Linked DNA regions of Tamandua tetradactyla. The protein of the gene in region 2 interacts with the protein of the main gene of each other region in a biochemical or structural test. Links are inferred from orthologs where the notes say so. Each region holds a gene or a part of one and is shown on either strand. Other genes may lie near its edges. The genes, in order: BCL3 and NFKB2.

Evidence for each region.
Region 1: the proteins of NFKB2 (region 2) and BCL3 form a complex in vitro, tested with the Homo sapiens proteins (2 studies listed by BioGRID). The link is inferred for Tamandua tetradactyla from reciprocal best matches to the Homo sapiens genes NFKB2 and BCL3.

The regions. Positions count from the first base shown.
Region 1 is NC_135342.1:18,276,133-18,283,718, forward strand, and holds the start of BCL3 (B-cell lymphoma 3 protein), read right to left. Parts: upstream 3,251-7,586; 5' UTR 3,147-3,250; coding exon 2,891-3,146; intron 1,390-2,890; coding exon 1,236-1,389; intron 48-1,235; exon of another isoform or gene 1-47. UniProt on the Homo sapiens protein: Contributes to the regulation of transcriptional activation of NF-kappa-B target genes. In the cytoplasm, inhibits the nuclear translocation of the NF-kappa-B p50 subunit.
Region 2 is NC_135339.1:64,284,106-64,291,557, forward strand, and holds the start of NFKB2 (nuclear factor NF-kappa-B p100 subunit), read left to right. Parts: upstream 1-4,380; 5' UTR 4,381-4,560; intron 4,561-4,973; exon of another isoform or gene 4,974-5,213; 5' UTR 5,214-5,441; intron 5,442-6,510; 5' UTR 6,511-6,741; coding exon 6,742-6,762; intron 6,763-7,130; coding exon 7,131-7,212; intron 7,213-7,336; coding exon 7,337-7,377; intron 7,378-7,452. UniProt on the Homo sapiens protein: NF-kappa-B is a pleiotropic transcription factor present in almost all cell types and is the endpoint of a series of signal transduction events that are initiated by a vast array of stimuli related to many biological processes such as inflammation, immunity, differentiation, cell growth, tumorigenesis and apoptosis.

The DNA.
Region 1 (7,586 bases), on a different chromosome or scaffold from region 2:
CCCCTAACAGGCAGCTGAGGCAGAAGTGTTTGCATTGGGGGAGAGGGAGCATGTGTGTGTGTGTGGGGGGGAGAATGGGGAGGGCGGGTGGGGCGCAGGCTGGGACACCTCCTGCACCCCGCTTTCACAGGCCACAAACACCTCACCCCTAGGGACAGATACAAAATGAAGCCCATTTCACTGATGACTCCCAGAAGTCCCCAGAGGGGGAGGAAACTCGATTTTGTTGAGTCCTTTATATATCTCAAGTACTTTCTCCCACTTGGGCTCAAGGGGATAGCCCACAAACACCCATTGCCATGTATTGAGCATTTACTGTGTACTGCCCTATCGTCTGCACTAATGCACCAAATCCTAATTGTGATTTGCACTGTTATGAAGACCGATTTCCAGATGGGGAACTGAGGCTCACCCCCTCCAGAAATGGGTCTGCTCACTCCTACCTGAGTCTCCAAACCGACTTCTGCACCCTCACACACTTTGGTCCCTGTTTGACAGAGGGGCGAATCTGAGGCATGGACCAATGAGAAAGTGGCCCGCTGAGATTCAAACATAAGTTGGCAGAATACTAAGAACTGCAACGATCAAGTGTACTGAGTGCTTACTATGTGCTAGGCCCAGAGCTCAACCCCCTCTTGCAGGCTTTCATGGCAGCCTCAGAAAATGTTCCTCTAATTGTAGGTGATAAAGTATGGGGTTGGGAAATCAATCTGGGGAGCCTTCAGATTAGTTCAGTGGGTTGCAACAGTGAAATAATAGAAAAATATCAAAGTAGACCCCATCATCAGATATTGTTTGTTTCGTGCAGTTTTTCTTTCAAGTGTGTGTACACATCTTGTGCATATGTTTGTGTGCTGGATTTGATATAAAGTAATACTAATAAACACTTATCAACCAGCTACACTATGTTAGCAGCTTTACATGTATAACTTATATCATCAATCACTCAGTGCAATGCATTTCCCACTTTGGGGCTGTGATAAAACATTTGAAGCCCACTGCTCCTTAGTCCTGGGGGGATGCGCTCTCAGGTTGCCCATTTCTGAGGAGGAAACTGAGGCTCGGAGAGGGGCAAGTCCTTGCTCAGGATCACACAACCAGCAGTGGAGAGAGGATTACAGCTCGGGTCAACGTAACTTGAAAGCCCAAGCTGAGTGCCCCTGTATGTGGTGGGTGAGGTGGGTGGAAGGCTGTCCTCCCCACTCCCCTGTCCAATAGTGGGAGAGGTCACTCACGTGTCTCCGTCCTCATCTGCGTGGGTGGCCATGGCGATGTCAGCCGACAGGGGATGTTCCATTGAACACACCATGGGGTACAGGGGGGCAGGCAGGCTCAGCAGAGGAAAAGGGGAGCCCATGGTTGGGGTGGGGTACAGAGGCAGTAAAGGTCCTGAGCAGTGGAGAACAGAGAAAGGACACTGGTGAAGCCAGGCCTGGAGACCCTTAACCTATTGCCCACCTCTTGGCCTTCAATCCTGCAGAACTGCCTACCCTTCCTTGCAGGTCCCTTTGTATCAAGATAACCCCTGCCACGTCCTCCTCTGGCCTCCCACAGCCCATTTCCCCTTGCCCCCATCTGGTCACCCTCATTGTCACTTATCTTTCCATGTGCCTGACCCCCATCACCCGCCAAGGGAGCCCCCATCATCACCCATGGGGGGACCCCAGGATTTGTTTGATGAGTGAATTTGTGGCTGAGGGAGATGAGAAATAGATGGAGAGCTGGGCATAGTGAATGTGCAGAGGGTTTGAGGAGAGGGAAGGGTTGAAATGGGAGCAGGGGGTACAAGAAGCCGATTCAAATCCAGCTATTGGAAGAGACTGTGGCAGCAGTCACATCCATACCAGTGGGGAAAACTAAGGCCTGGGTACTCATCCAAGGGATGGGAAAAGTCAGTGTGGTGGTGGCAAGGCCTCCTGACTCACGGCTTGAGGCTCTCCCTCTGCTGCACTTGGAGGGGCTTGGAAGGTGCAGAAAGTGGATCAAGTTTTGGGGTTACTAAGCGTGGGCCCATTGCAGCTTCTGGGGCCATCTGGGGAGAGTGAGGTGAACACAGCTGTGGTCCAAGGGCTGCCCCTTTCATGAGATCAAGGATGGAAACGGGATGGGGAGAATGGTGGGTAACTTTCTCCAACATCCCCTGATCCTTGGTGGGGGGGGGAGGCTCATTCCTGGACTCCCCAAGTTCCAGGTCCCTGTGTCTCCAGTACCAGACCTTGGGGCCCTGGGATCTTCTGCCCAAAGTCCACTGACTCTCTCATCCTGGCCCTAAATCCTGAAATCCCAGAATTCTCTAGCCCTGCCACTCCATTCCTAGAATTCTCAGTCTGCAGACCTCCTAAGGCCACCTGCCCTTGTGACCCCTGATTGGCATCTCAGCTGAGTTTTTGTTCTCTTGACTCCTTGGGGCCCCCAGTTATTGGGTTCCTGGAACTCTTCCTTGGATCCCTGTGATCCCAGATATTGGGATGCTCAGAACTCCAAGCTCTATTGTCGTAATTCCCCATGTCCCCTGATTTTGACATCCTGGGACCCCTTCATAGCTGTCTCTTTAGTACCCCATTTGTGGTTCCCCTGACTGCCTCTGACCCCTACGTGGAACCCAGGAACCCCAGTTTCTTGGGTCCAGGCCCTGACTCCTCATAACCCTAAATTTCTGGGTCATGGAGATTTGTAATTCTGAGGCACCTATATCTGTGGCCTGGGACTTCAGGCTATGCCCTCAGCTCCCTGGGACCCCTGTATGTGTCCCTAGGACTCTGGGTCCTGTCCCCCTGTCTCCAGCTTCCTGGGACACCACATAACTGCGCCCAGGGTTCTGCCCCCTAGCTCTGGTGACCCTGTACCTTGTGCGGTTCCCACCCAGTCCTGACCCGCGGGGGCCACTCACCCTGGTAGTAAAGCGCCTCCGGCCGGGCCAGGCCGTGGGGGACCCCGGAAACGGCAGACGCGTCGGCGCCACCACACAGGGGCTCGGAGGGGAGGACAGGGCCTGCAGAGGCGCGGGGGGCGGCGGGTTCCGGGGAGGACGCGCGCAGCGGGCGCTTGCGGAGCGGCAGCGCGGCGCCGGGGGGTCCCGCGGCCTTGGGCCGGGTGCGCAGGTCCACGGGCCCCTCGTCCATGGCCCCCGCGGGGCATCGGGGCATGGGGCCGCCGGGGACGGCGGCCGAGCGGGCGGCCGGAGCGCTGCTCCGCTCAGTGGCACGGGAGGGTGGTTGCGCCGGGCGCCGGGACTTCCCCTGCCTCCCGCTGAACTGAAGGGACTTTTGTCGGCCGGGGCGGTGCCGGCCGGCCGCCTCCCCGCCCTCGACCGCCCCCCGCCCCCCCCTCCCGGGGCCACCCGTCCGCCCCAGGGGTTTCCTGGACCCGCCGCCGCTCCCGTCGCCGCGCAGTGCAGCCCGCCGCGCTCCGCCCTGGCCGCGCCCCGCGCCCGCCCCTCCCGGCGCCCCGGGCGGCTCACCCGGGTTGGGAGGCGGGGGCGGGGGTCCCCGCCCCTGCGGCAGCGGGCTTCGCTCAGCCTCGAGGCTCTTGTCCCTCGGGCTCTGTGTCTCCCTCTCTCGGTATCTCTCTGTAGCTGTGTCTCTCCTTGACGGAGATCTCTCCGGTCTGAACACGCATCACCCCGATTTCTCTGTCGCTCTACGTCTCACCGTCTCTACCTCTGTTGTCTGTTTGCATTTCTCACTCTCTCTCTGTCTCTTAGTTGCACTCTTCTCTGCCTATCCCCCCCCCCCGCCGGGAGGTAATTCTGGGAGAGCCTGGAGTCGCTGGACCTGGGTTCGAATCCCGCCGTTCACTTCCTCACTGTGTGAACTTGACTGGGCACTTCCCCTCTCTGGGCCGTTTCCTTCTCTGTGGGAGTGAGAAAACGCGCCCAGGGCCGGGGCTGGGGGTCGGCGGGCGCCCAGGAACTGTCCCTCCGCCTCCCCTGCCACCGTCTCTGCCTCTTCTCTATGCCTCTTTGACCAGGCCCGGGGTGCCCAGAGGGACAATGAATGTGATTCCTCCCCTCAGGCCCGGGGTGCCCAGAGGGACAATGAATGTGATTCCTCCCCTCCGGGTCACTGGGTGCTCGGAGAACGGTGGGTGTACTAAGAGAGGGACACGGAGATGGAGGCGCAGAGCTCTGGAGAGACAAAGGAAAGGGACACGGGAGAGAGAGATAGCAAGAGACCAAGAGACACATCAGCAGTGCGGGGACAGAACGACCAAGGCCAGGCTCCGGGGTGGGGGGGTGGCAGTCTGACCTCCTTCTTCTCCTCCACTTTCCCCTCCCCTCGGGGAGGGGTCGAAGCGTAGGGAACAGGCCCGGTGGGTTGGTGTTGGCGGCATGACTCAGACAGGCGGGAGCAGGCGAGGGGGAGGGGCAGGGGCGGGCCCCGTCCGCGTGGTCGCTCCTCCCCCTTCTCCCGCCCAGGGGGCGGGGCTCCTGCGGCCCGGGGCTTTCCCGGATTTCCCTGGGGGCGGGGCCGCCGCTGGGGTTGAGTCCGGGTCACTGAGTCACGGGAGGCGGAAGAAGGGCTATGCAAACCTGGGGGAGCCGGACAAGGGGTTCCGCACCCCAGAGCTGTCCGGACGGCACCCGGCGGGGTAGGGGTCTCCCTGCTTTGCTCCCTGAGACCCTGTCTGTCTGGACAACTCTGTCCTCTGTCCGTCTTCCCTTCTCCCTTTTCTCTCACTGTCCCTGATCAGGCTCAGCTTCTCTTTGTCCCTTTCTCCCGAACCCATGACATTGTCCTTTTGGCTCTCCATCTCTGCCTGATCGTTCTGTCTCCTGGCAGCGTCTCTCTGGGACCCGGAAGCGGGTGTGGGGCCCCGTCCACCAGGAAGAGACTTTGGCCTGGACGCGGGCCCCACCCCAGTGGATCATTAACCGGGATTGGGAGGAGCAGCTGGGGGCAGAGAGAGTCCCGGCGCCCTGGGCCTCTCTGTTATCCCCCCTTTGAAGCCCTGCAGTAGAGTGAAACATCTAGGGTCACAGACCTGGGTCCAAATCTCACTCCCACCCCTTGCTCACCTAGGGACCTTCAGCAAGCTATCCCCTCTCTCCTGGAAATGAGCCTCTTGAGCCCTGCCTCCCAGTATCCTATCGTGGGAGCTACAACGAAGGAAAGAGGAAGGAAGTGGGTTGGGAAGGGCTGGGCGTCCCGGCCCACCCAGCACTCACCTCTTAGAACCTTAAGCACAGGGGAGGGGCAGTGTGTGGAAGCTGAGGTTCAAACGGTTGGTGCTCAACAAGCTGGTGACCCTAAGACCCCCAATTCCTCCCACTCCCCATCACCTTGTGGCAGGTGGTGCAAAGGGCCTGGGGCTAGACAGAACTGGGGGGAGGGGGGCATGCACACCTGGCCCAGAGAGGCACTTTGAAGGGCTGGGAGAAAGGGTACTGATGGCTCAGAGTTTGAGGATGGAGGAGAGGATGAGGGATAAAAGGGTCTGAGGACAGAGGATCTGAAGGAGGAAGACAAGTCTGAGAACTTGATTGTCTGAGGGAGAGGGGAGAGAGCCTGATGGAGGGATTGGTGGAGAAGATGAGGGCCTGGGGGTCAGGGAAGAGGGACTGAGGGAGGAGGTCAGAATCTGAGGGAGGGGGCCAGGATCTGAGGAAGAAGGATCAGTCTGAGGAGAAGGACGAAGTAAGGAGGTCAGAAGTGCGAGAGAGTTGGGAGGAAAAGAGGGGTCTGAAAGAGAAGGAGACTTGGAGAGGGTCTGAGGGGGAAGGGCTTGATCTGAGGGGGGAGCAGCAGACTGAGGAGGGTCTCCTTGTGGCAGAGGGGGAAAGAGGCATGCCTGAGGAGCCAGCAGGGACTAGAGGGAGGGAAGGGAAGGCAGGCTGGGAGTCGGCCCCGCCCTGCTGCTCTCTGACTTCCCAGAATCTTCTGCTACTCAGGAAAGTCCCAGCTCCTGCACCACCTCCCTCCAGTGTCGGGAACGGAGGATGCGGAACCAGGATGGCTGTCCCCTCCTTTCCCCCCTCTCTCCTTGCACCCCAGGCAGGGAGGGCTGGGGTCTTCCCTCTCTGGGCCTTGAGCTCTGCAGCCCTCTCCTGCCTCCTGCCCACTGCTGGCGGGGGCAGCCCCTGGATGAGTCTGCAGAACTTCCTGAAGAAGGCCTGGAAGTCCTGCTTGGAGTCTGACCATTTTCCCTCATGCAGTTTGTTTCTCCTCCCAGCTGCCTCATCTTCCCTCACCCACATTCAACTCTCCCTGTGGGAGGAAGACCAGGAGTTTGCCCATTTGAGGTCCCAGTGGTAAAGGAAGTGCAAACTGAAACGCTGTGGGCATGGGGGCATCTCTCCTGCTCTTTGGGCCTTGGTTTCCTCTCCAAAGGAGAGGAAAAGGGCAGGGCGGCTCAGGCCCTTAATACCCATCGGCTCCATTCAGGGGCCTTCTGCTACTTTGCTTCAAACTGAGGCCTGGGTGCAAGTCCTGTGTCCTGCCCTGACTGGCTTTATGACTTCCAGGCAGTTACCTGCATGGAGCTTCAGCTTTCTTATCTATAAAACAGACCAAATAGAGAAAATTTGCTTCCCTCTATGGGGCCTGATGTGTAGAAAGTGCTCAGTGCAACGAAGCTACTACTTTTATCATTATTGTCAGTTAACCTAGGCTGCCAGCAGCAGGACCCACTTCACTAGGGTGATTAGGATTCAGTGTGCTGGGCTTAGAGACCTGAGGGTGCCATGTGCTAGCTATGTGACCTTGGGCTGGTGGCTTTCTCTCTCTGCCTTTGTTTTGCTTTCAATAGTTGGGGATGACAACAGCGCCTGCCTCAAAGCGCTGCTGAACAGACTGTGTGAGACCAGGTTTGTGCGATGGGAGAATGAATGAATGCCCCCCCCATCTGCCTTAACCTCACCCTGTGCATCAGGCTGGGGTCTTCTTGTCACCTTTATTTGTCCAGAGATGAGACAAGACCTGACCCAGTCAGCTCCCACTAGAAACTGGCCCACTTAATCCTCTCAACACCTCAGAAAATTCACCTAAAACCCCCATTTTATTGAGGTGGACACTGAGGCATAGGGAAGTGAAGTCCCTTCCTAGGGTCGAATGGTGAGGAACTGGGGGAGTTTTTTAATACAGGGCTCTGGACCCCAGGACTCTGGTTCAAACCTACTGAACTGGCAGGGGTGGTGATTAGTTCCAGAAACCATTAATTCTAGCCTCCTACTCCCTGGAGAGGAATGGTTTAGATGGAGAAACTGAGGCATGGGGCAGCAACCATGTGCCCAAGGGCATCTATGGGTTTTAGCCCAGTCCACACTCTTTCTGCTGCGTTTCTTCAACCCCAGGGAGGATCGAATGGGTAGAGAGGGGTCTCATTGCAGCAGGAGGGAATAAAGTTAGACTTCAGGTTAACTGATAGAGAAACCATCACCAGAACCTCCAGGGAGGTTCAGAGACAGCAAGTGAATTCCACAGATAGAGGCAAACAGAGGCTCTGGGCCTGGATGGGGAGGGACGTGCCTGAAGTCATACGGCCTCCCTTTTGGGATCAGGGCTGAAAAGTCCACCCCCAGTCTGCCTGCCACTCTGCTGCCCAAAGCTGCCTCTCCCTTCTCCCCAGGGGTAAATGCAGGCCAGCTT
Region 2 (7,452 bases):
TCTGTCATAGACAGTTAGAGGCACTCACCCTCTTCAAAGAGCCCCCCTGGCTGTATGATCATGTATCACCTTGGGCTTCCCCTTACTTAGCACTTCCATATGAATGTTGCTGGGAGGTTGGACCTCTGTAAGCACATCCCTCAGGTATGGAACGGGGCATCTCCGAAATGGGAACAGCCCAATGTGAAAAAGACAGAGATCAGAAGCTTTTAGCTTAGTTTCTCTCTCTTCCCTTCAAGTCACCCAGACCATGCCCAGTTTCCACACTAACCATAGGCCTTGCACAACCCTAACACTGGAGCAAGGAACAGAGATAGAGGTTCTGTGTGTGTTGCAGAAAAACTTGTATCTACAGTCAGGTGGACACTAGGGCTCTTGACCTCAGCTATGGTATCCCAGTTCTCCCATTTAATCCTCACAAGCTCTGCTTTAGAAGCTTCCATGTGTTTGGGGAAAATAGTGTCGGTTGCTACAAAGAGATGTGCGGTCCAGCATACAAACAAAGGAATATGACAGTCTGTCCTTCAGTTGGAAAAGAAGCTGGAGAGATTGCAAACTGATCCTCTCTCCACTGCATAAAAAAGAAAAACATTTGCCAGAAGGCTTATTCTGCTATAAAAAGAGCAGCTGACACACACATGCATGACCTCTGTTGTTGACAGTGTTGTCTCTTAGAAAGCAGAGGAAGCTATAAGAGGAACTAATACTTGGGCCTTATTTCTGACCATCAAGGAAGAATGATTTAGTGATGTGGAAGTGACCAAAAAAAACTTTGGGGGAAAGTGATAGTGTAAACCAGAGGGAAATGCTGATCTTAATCTTATCTCCTACCAGAATTCTAGGAAAGCAGAGTCCAAAAAATCCAGAGGAAAGCTAGAGATGGTTCCATGACCTAAGACCATAACATAGAGAACTGACATTTTTAGAGTACCTATCATGTATGTAATTACAAAGGGAATTGGTGAAACAACCTTTAGAGGTATTTACTCCTCTTCCAGATGAAGAAACAGGTTCAGAGAGGTCAAGGCATTGGGAAATGAAGAAGTTGGGACTCAAACCCAGGTCTATCTTACTCCAAACCTCATGGTATTTTCCAGTGACACTTCTTTAATTCAAAAGTATTGGTGTTGGTGCAAAAATCCTCCTAAGCTAAATATATTTTCTGTAGTTTCCAATAGGAAATAAAAGGTTGAGGCTCTGAATCAGCCATTGGCTGTACAGGCTATTTAACCTAGTGAGTTCAGAGTTTAGTAGAAGTGTATTAAAACTGGAAAGATATGCCAAGAATAAATACGAATTCTCTGAGCCCATAAAAATGGTATCAGGAAAAATTAACTACAGAATGAGCTACCATTGGCATAGTTCCACCCCCCACCCCCTGCCGCACACACAACCCACAATAGCAGGAAAAAATTTAAATGTGGTTATTAGAGCCTGTGGATGGTTATATTTGTTCAGGTTTCACTGCTTGGGAGACAAGTGGCCATGAGACAGGAAAACCACTCAGCCCCTGGCCTCCAGTTGGAGAGAAAGAGTTTTAGTTCAAGAAAACAACTCATCACTTCTCCTCCTTGAAACTGGCTTCTGAAACTTTTTCTTGGTTCTTTTCTATCTCACTGGGCATGCCCTTTCAATTTCTTTTGTGGGCTCCTCGTCTCTACAGCCTCTAAAATTAAGATAGCCAGGGCTCAGCTCTTAAATCTTTTCTCTATACTCCCTGTGTGATCTTGTCTACTGGCAAGACTTTAAAGACCATCCATTATACTATTGTTATACCTAGCTCTAACTTTGTATCTCTATCCTGACCCTCCTCTCAAATCCAGACTCCTACATCCACCTGCCTCTTGACATCTCCACTCACATGCCTCAGAGCCATCTTAATATTACAAACTTAAAAAGAAAAATTCTTATACATGGTGGTGAAGATAGCACAACATTGTTGTTCTAGTTTGCTAGCTGCTGGAATGCAATATACCAGAAACAGAATGGCTTTTAAAAAGGGGAATTTAATAAGTTGCTAGTTTACAGTTATATGGCCAAGAAAGTGTCCCAGTTAAAACAAATCTATAGAAGTGTCCAATCTAAGACATCCAGGGAAAGATACCTTGCTTCAAGAAGGCCAATGGAGTTCAGGGTTTCTCTCAAGTGAGAAGGTGCATGGCAGACACAGTCAGGGCTTCTCTCTCAGTTGAAGGGCACATGGCAAACACAGCGTCATCTACTAGCTTCCTCTCCTGGCTTCTGGTTTCATGAAGCTCCCTGGGAGGCGTTTTCCTTCTTCATCTCCAAAGGTCGCTGGCTCGTGGACTCTGCTTCATGGTGCTGCAGCATTCTCTGCTCTCTCTCTGAATCTCTCTCGTTCTCCAAAATGTTCCCTCTTAATAGGACTCTAGAAAAACTAATCAAGACCCACCCAAATGGGTGGAGACACATTTCCCCCAATCCAGTTTAACAACTACTCTTGATTGTGTTACATCTCCAGGGAGATGATCTAATTACAGATTCAAACATACAGTATTGAATAGGGATTATTCTGCCTTTACGAAACGGGATTTAGATTAAAACATGGCTTTTGTATGGGATCATACATCCTTTCAAATCAGCACAATTATGATTATAATTAACTCTACTGAATAGAATACTAGAAAGTGATTAAAATGGGAAATGTTATATTGTATATGTTACCACAATGAAAGTTTAAATAAATAAAAATTTTAAAAAGGAAAAAGCTGTGTCTTACCATGCCTCCAGAATAGTGTCCACACCTCTGAGTGAAGAAAAAAGAAAAAATTTTTACAGCCCTTTACAAATCTGTTCCTCCTTGGTCTAGCTCATATCGGTAAAGGACAACACCATTCTTCCAGGTTCTTACGTCAAAAACCTCCCCTTTTCTCACATCCTACACCCAGCCCCTCACCAAATCTTGTTGCTTCTCTCTTTCAAATCTATCCAGAGTCTGATCACTTCTCTCTATCCTCACCGATTACCACCCAAGTCCAGGCTGCTATCTGTAGTCTACTGGTCCCCCCCCTCTACATACTCCACTCTCCTGTCTGCACAGCAGCCAAACCGATCCTTTTAAACAAGCCATATCATTTTCACTGCACTGCTTAAAATCCTCTAACAGCTTTCCATCTCATTCAGAATAAAATCCAAATTCTTACTTCGTTCCACCTAACTACCCTTGCTGTTCTTCAAATATGCAAATCATATTCACAACAGACCTTTGCATTTGCTATTCCCTCCACCTGGAATGCTCTGCCTCCAGATATCCATTGTCCACTCCCTCATTTTTTTTCAAATCCTTGTTCAAATGTTACCAAAGAAGCCTTGTCGGACTGCTATATAGAAAACCTTTGTCACTCTCTATTCCCTTACCTGCTTTATTTTTGTTTATAGCAATTATCACCAACAGACGTAAATCTATTTGATACTTGCCTGATTCGTCCCACTAGAATGTAAGCTTCCTGCAAGCAAAATATGCCCTCACTGTTTGTTGGTGAATAAATAGAGTGGATTTATGGTGCATATGTTCTCAGCAGGTGTTGCGCTAGGGCTGGGTGCAGAAACAGATGATCAGATTGCAAATTAGTGAAATAAACATAATGAGATTTCTTAAACCCAGATTGATGAAGCCACAGCAACAGACAATAAATAAACTACTTTGAGTTAAAACTCTCCAGCCCCACATAAATTGAGAATTGTTGAAGATAATTAAGGATACATAAATATCATTATACTATATTCTCTACTTTTTAAATGCTTAAAATTTCCCATAATAAAGTTGTAGTGTTTTTTTTTTTAATCTCCAAATAAATTACAGCTCGGTATCTTGTAACTAAAACAGGTCAACCCCTTGGGGTGCTTTTGGAGACATTGTGAACCCTGAAAGAATACATACCAATTTCAGCAGGTGCTTTTTGAGCACGTTGAAAGAACAGTTGTGGTCAATGGCAACGAGCACAGGCTCACTCAGTTGGCATATACCAAACTAACCACATATTTAAGAATCTGATTTATCAAGGGAACTTGGTTGACAATAAATGTGGATTCCAGCAAAGTATTTGACACTATATTTGCTTGAATGACCCACAATAGGTGGAAAGGCCTACTTTGTTTTATATGAATTTAGGGGAAAGAGCTTCTGCCTGATATCTGAGCCTTAATTTCTTTTCCAGTAAAGGTAAGATTAACCTCCTGGGGTTGTTGAGAAGAATAAGAACTTATACTAAAGTACCTGACATTTATGGACAAGGTGAGAAGGAGGGGGAAGTCACAGGAAAATAAGTTTCCAAATCAAGGGCCATAATAGTCACTCGGTGCTAGTGCAGTCCTGCAGTTCCAGGAAGGTCAGGGGCAACTGTAGGAGAGACCTGAAACAGCCTGTGTTCTATCACCGGCCTAGGGAAGATGACTCCATGATCAGAGATTACTTCTCTGTGTGCTTCCCAAAGAGAAACTCCACCAACCAGAGAAGTCCAGCTACGGGGTCAGTGTTTTGTGAAATACTGTACTGACCTCACCGCCAGTAGAAGGATTCAAGAGGAAGCTGGGAAGTAGGTAAGAGTCGATCTCCTACATAAGAGGACTTTTGAACTATTTAAGACTTTCAACGCCTTTTCAATTCCAACATTTAAGATCTCTGTGATGACTGGAAGAGGCCCGAAATCCCCCAGAAAAACACCCCATTCCACTTCCCCCGCATAGAACTCCCGGCCCACTGTGAACCTGGCACTAATAGAATACGTTTTAGAGCCGGCAGGTCTCTTCCAGAGGCTTTGAGTCAGGCCGGAGACTGAATAAGAGACTAACAGTCTTTACGGCTTCAGGTGCCCAGGGAGGCCGCCAGATGGCGCCGTGGGACCGACCGCAAGATCGACTTCCTTCCTCTTCCCCTAACTTTTCCCGGCAGCCGGGCTCGGCTCTGGGAGGGGGAAGCCAGCTGAGACCGGCTGGCTTCCCCCTGGGGTTCCCCGGCTTCAGACGTGGCCAAGCATTCGGCGCAGCATAAGTATGAAGGCAGTGGGTCTCCCAGCCGTCCCGAGCAGGCTCATGCGGCCCCCAGAGGACAAGGGCCCGGCTTTCGTCCCGGGCAGGGCCTGGTGCTCGGTCAGCAAGTCTTACCTCGGGGTAACCCGGAAGCTAGACATCTGGGCGGGCAACGGCCATCCAGACCCCCAGCTCCCTGCCCTGAGTGAATCTTTCCCCGCTAGGAGACGCTCCTGAGTCGCTCCTGATTGGCTACTTGAGTCCGGGCGTTAAACTTCTGGCCAATGAAAAAGGGCATGGGGAATGACGCGCAGAAACGTCATGGGAATTCCCCCCTCCGGGGGGCGGAAAAGGTACTTTCCCGGCTGGAGCCCTAGTGGCTAGAGAGGTGTCGCGACCCGTCCAAGGCTGGTCGGACGGGGAGAAAAGACCGAACCCGAGCCGCCTCGGCGGTGAGTGGGGTCCGGACTCTTGGGTGGCCGGGACGCGGGAGAGGCGGAGGAGGGCTTTCATTGAACCAGCCCCTGGACTGGAGAGCTGCATATGCACACACGCAGAGCATGCACACACACACGAAACAGACGGGTTGTATGTATGTACATTCTTGAGCATCGTTGTATGTACGCGGCACGCGCACAGCATATTCCGTGCACTCGGACTCGCACAACATACACTCGCAACGTGCTCATTCGGGCACCGGTGGACCACATCCTTCCCGCACAAACTCCAAGCTATGATCACCTGTACCCTTACATATCAGACATGCTCGGACATATACATATTGAGAAGTTTACGAACATGCACCTATATACGGACATGCTCACTTCCACATGCATGTTGACGCTATGCACACACAGTATGCACCCAAGCACATGGGCCAAAACAAACCTGTGTACCTGTGGAGACACACATGTCTGTGGGACTGGGGTGGGAAGCGTGCAGGGTCTGTCCCTCTCCTGGGAGCCTGTGTGGTGTGGGAATCAATGGGGAGAAGAAAAGAGGAACCTGCCCCAAGGAGGAGACACCTCCCCCCACCCGCCCCACGTCGCAGTCCCCAGAGTCCCTTTCTCGTGGCAGAACCCTGGGGCCCCCCACTGGAAAGAGCCCCCGCCTACAGGCCATTCGGAGAGGAGGCCTCCCTACTCTAGGAATGTCCCCTCAAAAGCCCCCGAGGTGAATCAGCCCTGGCTTCCCTCTCGGCAGAAAATCCCAAGCTTGCTCCAGGCCCGGCCACGGACTGGGAGCCTCCCCCGCCGTGAAAGACCCTCCTGTCCCCGGAGCCTGCCCTGAAGGGTGGAGGGGAGGCCCCAACCCCCTTGGGGGCTTCCCTGGTTTTTATCCCCTCTCTGTCGCGGAGGCGGCCGGGGCCCGCTGGCTGGCTGAGGTCTCGCACCCCTCCCGCAGCTGGGGCGGGGCCAGTAGCGTCATTTCCAGGCCCGCCCCCTCCGGCCCCGCCCCCCCCCTGGTATTTTCGGGACTTTCCTAAGCTGTTCTAACTTTCCTGCCCCTGACCCGGCCCAGCCCAGCTCCGGATCTCGCCGTCCACCGGATTTCGTCCGCCACACCCGGACAGGCGGCTGGAGGAGATCGGACCCTCCCCCATATTTGGTGCTCCGCTCTCCTGCCACCCCCCGGCCTGATCCGTCCCCCCTACCCCACCCCACCCCCACCCCCCGCAAGGCGGGCACCTGAAACTCTGGGAAACGGAACCCGGCTGGAGCCACCAGCCAGAGCCGGGCTTAGCCCAAAGACATGGACGGTTGCTACGACCCAGTGAGTTACGCCACCTGGCCCCAGAGCCAGCCGGCTGTCCCCTTCTCCGTCTGCTTGTCTTCCTATCAGGGGCCCCTCTGCTGCCTTACACCTGTCTACCCCTCCTGTTAGCTCAGCCTGCCAGACATCTGTCTGCTGCCTCCTGCATCTATCTTACATCAGATCTCAAAAGTGTCTACTCTAATGCCCCTCCACACCGTCCTTTGCCTGCCTGTCAATCACTCTGTCTGCAAACTGCTTCCAAAGGAGCTTTCTCTTGGGCCTGGGGAGGAGAGAGAGGGGTTACTGAGGGCTTAGAGCTGAGCCAGGTGGAGGGCTCTGGTGGTGACTCAGAATCGGCTGCCACCCCCAATATGTCTCCTAACCAGGGCCTGGATGGCATCATTGAGTATGATGATTTCAAATTCAACCCCTCCATTGTGGAACCCAAGGAACCAGCCCCAGAGACGGGTCAGTAACATCCCCCCCCCCAACTTCCCCTTGTGTTAGAGGGAGGGGGTGAGAAGAGGCATGTGCCCTCTGCCTGGAAAATGGGCTTGGGGATCCTGGGTCAGCAAGGTCCCTTTGTCCCCAGCTGATGGCCCCTACCTGGTGATTGTGGAGCAGCCTAAGCAGGTGAGTGAGCAGAAGAGATGGTGTGGGACTTCAGCTTTGGGGCATGTTGGGTAGTTGTCACTGGATGGCCATGGG